Sus scrofa: one gene and its partner. The protein of the gene in region 1 binds, or shares a complex with, the protein of each later gene. Links are inferred from orthologs where the notes say so. Each region holds a gene or a part of one and is shown in the gene's direction. Other genes may lie near its edges.

Region 1 (3,816 bases):
GGTCCTCTGTCCCTAGACACCCTGTTTTGCCTGCATATGGGTACTTTGCTCATTGTGGGAGCCGGGCAGTGTAAGTGCCTGCTGCTCCTGGGCTGCATTTTCTTGTGTTGCTCATCACCCTGCAGTCACTTCCCCTGGTTCCTAGGGGCTGCTTCCTTTACCTGGGGTCTCGGCACTTCTGCCACACGTGGGCATTCACAGCAGCTCCTGACTCCACTCCTGCAGTCTGACTTCCCATGGCCACTGGGGAGGTCCTTCCCAGAGCACTTAGAGCATGTATTGGTCAGTATTTCCCGGAAAGGGTATGGGCTGCCAGGGGCTGGCTCCCTGCTACCAAGTGTGTGACCCAGCATTGGCCATGTCGCCATGCGCTGAGTGCGGAAGGTCACGTGTGCTGGAGAGAAAGGCTCAGTGGCCTTCTCAGCACTGCCCTCCTCAGAGGGCAGTGACACACAGCCCCTCCCAGCATGCACTCTGAGTGTAGCTTGGCCCGTGTGGTCTGTCTGCTTTATTGGAACTGCCTCTAGGGCTTCGGAAGCTGCCACTCCCAGCTTTCCAGATGGCACTTATGTTTGGGCTCTGTGCCCGTTTGCCATGGTGCTGTTTGAACCAGTCCCCAAGGACAGACCAGCCTTCTGGGTTAGCGCACCGTCTCAGGACTCCTGGAGAGCATCTTGGGAGGTGTTGTGGGCTTTAGGTGTCATGAGCTTGGTAACAGGGAAATGTCAGCCCTGTAGCACAGTCCTGTTGGACTTCCTGCCCTGCTCCGGATACACACCCTCTGACCCAGCGCCATGGCCTCCTTTTATACGATGAGGCTCTTTCTGCCTGAACTGTAAGGTCAGTCTGTGTGTGGCCAGGGTGGGCAGCTAACATGTCCCCAAGTGCTCTGGGTCTTGGGAGGCAGGGCTGGCTGCCTGAGAGGGGCTTCCCAGAGGAGTGCAGCCCTCCTTTTGCAGAACATGGTTCTGGAGGTTCAAGTGTAGCTGCGCAGTCTGCAGTCCATTTTGGTCTAAACCTTGGGCCTTTGGATAGTTGGCTGCTGATCTGGACATTAAAGGTGGAGTTTATTTGGGTTATGAGAATGGTCCAGATTCTCGTGTAGTTCTGAAGCCCAGTGGTTTCCTGCAAATGGACACTGGATCCACCACTTGAAGACCCTATCAGCTGGAAGATACTGCCCTCAGCCTCAGACCCTATGGCTCACTGTTGATGGGCTCTGGGGACCTTCCTGGGAACATTGGCTATCTCTCCAGGCCGACTGGGTACTGTTGGGATCTGGGGCATTGATGAAATCCACCCTTGCTCTTGAACCTTGAATGACAACAAATGATGGGAGTTCCTTGAGCTGGTCAGCAGCACCTGGGGCTCCTTTGATCAGAAGTGACCTTCATCTGTTCTGTGGTGATCTCCTTGCCTTTTCCCCTTACTGTCTCCCCATCTCTGTGTATTTAGGTCTCTCTCTCTGTCTCTTTGTGTGTCCCTGTCTCTACCTCTCCCCATGTCCGTCTCTTACCTGTGTGTTTGTGCTTATCTCTGTCTGTCTGTATCTGTCTCTCTTGGCACTTTTGTTTTGTTTGTTATTTGAGGTGTAATGTAGATAAAACACACTGATTTTCTTTAACAGGTCAGCTTTACATACAGTAAAATACATAGATTTAAATGTACAATTCAGTGAATAATCCCTTCTCCATATTTCATCACCCCCAGAAAGTTCCCATGGGGTACATCTTGTTTATAGTGCAGATTTTACATAAATATCCACCCATGTGACCACCTGGATCAAGATGAAAACTCTCCCAGCACCTCCAGACTTGGGGGTCGGGGGGCGGTGAGGCAGGGGCTCAGGCACACATACCTGCTGTTGGTCGGGTATTTCGGACAGGCTGGTGCTGACATCTGCTTCCCGAATCCCAAAGTGCTGGTCCCTGGAATGCCGAGTTTTCCCACATGCCCCACGAATAAGCCTTTTGTCTCCCCAGATCTGGGACACAGCCGGACAGGAACGGTTCCAGTCTCTTGGCGTGGCCTTCTACAGAGGCGCAGACTGCTGCGTTCTGGTGTTTGATGTGACTGCCCCCAACACATTCAAAACCCTGGATAGCTGGAGAGATGAGTTTCTCATCCAGGCCAGTCCCCGGGATCCCGAAAACTTCCCCTTTGTTGTGTTGGGAAACAAGATCGACCTCGAAAACAGACAGGTGAGTGCTGAAGGTGGTGGAAGGCATTTAGATTATAGCCCCTAAATCGTGAAAAGGCTTTCTTTAAAAAGTGGCAGCTACTTTTTGGGTGACTGGTACAGTTTTTAGATTTGCTTAGCAAAAAGCCAGGTGCCTCAAGGATCTGTTGGGCTGGGTGCGCCCCCTTGTGGGGCAGGGGCGGGACCACCACCTAGTTACCTGCCTGCCCAGCCCCAGGCTTCCTGACCTTGGAAAGGTCTTGGCCCCCTGGCAGGGGGGTGCAGTGGCATTCCCTTTCAAGTTATGCCCACAGAGGAGCGAGTCCATTCTGGACTTGCCCATACTGGCTGTCCCTCCTGGCCTAAGGGAAGTGATGTGACTTAAGGCCATGTGGGATTCAGTCTCTGGAACTTAGAGGCAGACCTGATCTGCAGTCCACGTCACGATTGCTAAGTGGGGGATGCTTCTCGAGTGGGCTCTGTCATCTGGCCGGAGTCTTCTGACCTGGAGATGGTGCTGAGAGCTGCTGGCCAGGAGGAACATTCTGGGGACCGCTGTCACTTTCGTGTTCTTTGAGAGCCACCTGCTTCTGAGGGGCTTTTGTGAGTTTGGCACGTTCTATGCCGAGCCTGGAGTGCTGGGGGTGCACTGCCTCCACGCCAGCTGCCTCTGAGGACCAGGGCCAGGAGACCGGCTTACATCCCCACGCTGTCCCTGGCTGACTCTGACCTACTGCCTGTGCCTCTGCACCTCGTTCCCCCATCCCCAGGAGGGGATTAGATATTGTTGTCTTCAGGGCCTGCCTAGGTCTCCACGCATACAAAAGGTCCCTGAGGCTTTGAGTAAGATTGCTCTGGTTTACCTTCAAGTAGCATCTCCCTGGGGACAGAGAGTATGTCTTAATTAGAGCTCGGCTTTCCCATCTTCCCTCAGTAACCTAGTTCTCCTTTCATGCGGAGAATGGGTTGGAGGTGGGGTGGGAGCTGCAGGATTTGGGCCCTTAGGGATGTGGCACAGGTGATATAACCGGTGGTGACAGGGAAAGGGCTTCAGGCCTGACAACCAAGCCTCCAGGTGTTTCCCAAGCTGCAGACCCCCCAAGGTTCCACAGGAGATGAGGCTTTTCTTCATGGGCTGCTGCGTGTTTACTGGGAGCTATGGCTGTAGCCAGGGTGGCAGTGGGCACATAGCCAGCATCTCCTGTGGACGGGGACCACGGCCCTTCTGGGCAGGATAGCAGCCATGCCGGGCAGCCCTGTCTTGAGCACACATGCCTCTCCTTCTAGGTGGCCACGAAGCGGGCGCAGGCCTGGTGCTACAGCAAAAACAACATTCCCTACTTTGAGACCAGCGCCAAGGAGGCCATCAATGTGGAGCAAGCCTTCCAGACGATCGCTCGGAACGCGCTGAAGCAGGTGGGTCTCAGCCCCTGCCTGTCTTTTCCTTACCCTTCTCTCCTAGCTGTCATTATCTGGGACAGTAATGACACGTTCTGCTAAAGCTTTCAGGAAGGATTTGTTGGTCAGTAACTTCAGTGGTGGAGGGCAATGGGGAGGTCAGCTAAGGCTGCCCTTGTCTGACCGGCACCTTTGCAGCTGTTGAAGTTGGGCCTCTAGAGGGCCCTCTTTAGGTTCCT
Region 2 (3,356 bases), on another chromosome or scaffold:
GAAAGTTCTTGCCCTCCTAAGGACAGCTCAGATGACCCTCAAACGTGGGAATCATCAGAAATTCCTTATCGTAATAAGCTAGGAAAATGGACAAGAACCAGAGCTAGCTGTTCTTTTGACATAGAAGCCTGCCACAGGTACTTAAACATTGCACTGTGGTGCAGGGATCCTTTCAAATTAGGGGGTCTCATCTGCTTGGGGCATGTTAGTTTGAAACTTGAAGAGGTGGCTTTGGGATGCTTAGCCACATCAAACATGGAATACCTTTCCAAATTCAGACTGGAAGCCCCATCACCTAAGGCCATGGTCACAAGAACCGCTCTACGCAACCTGAGTGTACAAAAGGGATTCAATGACACATTTTGCTTCGGGGATATTACTGTTCACTTCAAGTATTTGAAAGAAGGAGAGCCAGAGCACCATGTAGTTACTAACTTAGAGAAAGAAAAAGAACTCCATTTGGTCGAAGAGGTTTCTGCCCTGACTAAAGAGGAGCACTTTGTTGGACAGACGGGTTTGACAGAAAATAAGCATAGTTTCCAAGATACTCAGTTCCAGAACCCAACTTGGTGTGATTACTGTAAGAAGAAAGTTTGGACTAAAGCTGCCTCCCAGTGTATGTTCTGTGCTTATGTTTGCCATAAAAAATGTCAGGAAAAGTGTCTAGCCGAGACTCCTCTTTGTGGAGCAACTGACCAGCGGATAGACAGAGCCCTGAAAAACCTCAGGCTGGAAGGACAAGAAACCCTCTTAGGTCTGCCCCCTCGTGTTGATGCTGAAGCTGGCAAGTCAGTCAACAGAACAACAGGTTTGACAAGACATATTATCAATACAAGCTCTCGTTTGTTAAATCTGCGTCAAGTCTCTAAAACTCGCCTTTCTGAGCCAGGAACTGATCTAGTAGAACCTTCACCAAAACACACACCCAACACATCAGACAACGAAGGCAGCGACACAGAGGTCTGTGGTCCAAACAGTCCCTCTAAGCGGGGCAACAACACAGGAATAAAGTTAGTGAGAAAGGAGGGTGGTCTGGATGACAGTGTTTTCATTGCTGTTAAAGAAATCGGTCGTGATCTGTACAGGGGCTTGCCTACGGAGGAGAGGATCCAGAAACTAGAGTTCATGCTAGATAAACTGCAGAATGAAATTGATCAGGAGTTGGAACATAACAATTCCCTTGTTAGAGAAGAAAAAGAGACAACTGATTCGAGGAAAAAATCAATTCTTTCTGCGGCTTTGGCTAAATCAGGTGAAAGACTGCAAGCTCTAACACTTCTCATGATCCACTATAGAGCAGGCATTGAAGATGTCGAATCTTTAGAAAGTCTCTCTCTAGATCAGCACTCCAAAAAAATAAGCAAGTATACAGATGATACAGAAGAAGACCTAGATAATGAAATAACCCAACTAATAGACTCTCAGCCATTCAGTAGCATACCAGATGACTTATTTGGCCCTTCTGAGTCTGTTTAAGTCTGTTTAACCTTTCAAGTGATTAAGGAAAAGTTGTATCTCAAGTACCACAGGTACAACACATTGAAACCCTCTTATTATGCACTTTGGCCTGCTTCTCCACAGTTATTTGCTTGTGTAAGAACTAGAGTGGACAAGGTTCTCCAGCAAAAACATGACCAGCTCCCTAAATTGGTTGTTTCAGATTGTATTTATAGCTATGCTTTTTGGGTTTTTACTGGGAATTTATTTTTACTAATTTATTTTTAACTTTTTCTAATTACGTAAGCTAACTTTTGGTGTTTATGTGTGATGTCTTGTTATTTTTCCTTCCTCTTCCTAGTTTTTGAATTAGTGTTAAATAGGATACCATCCAGATTCTTAATATTTTCATTTCCATCATGGTTATAAAAATAAATTTGCTGCATGCCCAAATTGACAACAGTGATCATTGAGGGAACAGGTTTTGAATCTTATTTTGTGTTATGAAGTTTGACATCTCTACTTGCTTGAGATTTTTGTTATCTGGGGGCTTTGGGGGGTGCTTTTTGTTTTGATTTTGCCAAATGTAACATGAAAGCAAAATGCTGCAGCTTTAGTCAGTTATGCTGATTTAGTAAAAAGAAAAAAAAAAGTTTACATATACAGCTTGCTTTCTATGATTCTGTGAAATTTGCTTCCTAAAGTTTCTGTGCAGTTTTAGTAAGACTATAGTGATTAATTTGAAGAGCTTGCGTTGAAAAACAAAATGTAATAGGGAATAAATATAGAATGCAGTTGGTCAAGAATTTTGAGAGGATGACAAGGTTAAAAGAGAGTAACCAGTAGGATTTTGAAATATAACCTTTCAAAAAGTTGATGCTTTCAAGTGAAAGTTCTAAACATTTATGATTAGTTTTCATCTTCACTTCTCCCATAGGAAATAAAGCATGTGCAAGGATATTTGAAGTTTCAGAGGACTGTTCTTAAAATGACCTTGCTTGGCTGTTTTGTTTTAGAAATATTGTCATGCATGAGAATGTTGTGAGAGAGGAATCATGCGAAATAGATTTATTCCTTTGTCTGACATCCTACAGGCTTAAGGCGTGGTAATCATTCTGAATGCTTCCATAGTTCAGACTGTCTTTGTTGATTTTTTTTTTTTTTTAAGTTAGATGGCATAAACACGTAGGAATTGGGACCAGTTCTCTTAAAATGAAGATCTGCTCGGATACTCAGTCCATCAGATGGATACCAGTAACACATGACTGAGGGAAAATGTGTGAGCATGACCTTTGTTGGTATACATAAAAGTTTTCACCTTTTCTATAAGATAGATTTATGTATGTTTTTCCCTTTTGTAGGTAACTACTGTGATAAGTGATATATATAGTGAAACTGACATGAATTTTAAACTAGGTGGAACAGCTTTCATGGCTGGCAGGAAAAGGCACAGTAGAGCATAAGGATTCTGGCCCAGATCTATAAGCCGGGACTCTATACTAGAGTTTATGGAGTTGGCCATTAGTGAACTGTGTAACCATAGGCAAGCCCACAAAAGGTCTCCGTGCTACACTCTCCCCAGCTCTAAAGTAGGAATAAACAAAACTACCTCACAGGCTTGTTGTGAGGAAAACAATAGCATAACTGCAAAAGCTCTCTGAACAGTGGAAAGCTATTCAAATAAAAGGGATAACTTATGTGGATGATTAAAAACATGTTTATGGGTAGAAAAGTTATTCCACTTTTAAAATCAATAGCCAATTCTCATTCTTGCTATTTTATTATTGAGTGAAATATTAGGAAACTAATCTTGGCCAAGTTTATATCAAAAATATATCTGTTTGTACCCCTCTTTTTTGTTTAAGCATGCTTGCATTTTAAAAGAACATTGTTGTAGAAGTCTTTATGCACCAAATTCA

What was found.
Region 2: the proteins of RAB7A (region 1) and PDZD8 are in contact, whole or in part, in a crystal structure (PDB 7F6J), measured with the Homo sapiens proteins. The link is inferred for Sus scrofa from reciprocal best matches to the Homo sapiens genes RAB7A and PDZD8. Residues at the interface, in NP_004628.4 of Homo sapiens: Lys10, Leu14, Asp16, Ser17, Lys38, Ile41, Gly42, Ala43, Asp44, Phe45, Gln60, Trp62, Gly66, Glu68, Arg69, Phe70, Gln71, Ser72, Leu73, Gly74, Val75, Ala76, Phe77, Tyr78, Arg79, Thr98, Ser101, Trp102, Glu105, Phe106; in NP_776152.1 of Homo sapiens: Ile999, Lys1000, Leu1001, Val1002, Arg1003, Lys1004, Glu1005, Gly1007, Leu1008, Asp1009, Asp1010, Phe1013, Ile1014, Lys1017, Gln1044, Leu1051, Asn1054, Asn1055, Val1058, Leu1077, Leu1084, Gln1085, Thr1088, Ile1092.

Annotation. Positions count from the first base shown.
Region 1 is NC_010455.5:71,782,055-71,785,870, reverse strand, and holds part of RAB7A (ras-related protein Rab-7a), read left to right. Parts: intron 1-1,982; coding exon 1,983-2,201; intron 2,202-3,466; coding exon 3,467-3,595; intron 3,596-3,816.
Region 2 is NC_010456.5:127,398,121-127,401,476, reverse strand, and holds part of PDZD8 (PDZ domain-containing protein 8), read left to right. Parts: coding exon 1-1,476; 3' UTR 1,477-3,356. UniProt on the Homo sapiens protein: Molecular tethering protein that connects endoplasmic reticulum and mitochondria membranes. PDZD8-dependent endoplasmic reticulum-mitochondria membrane tethering is essential for endoplasmic reticulum-mitochondria Ca(2+) transfer.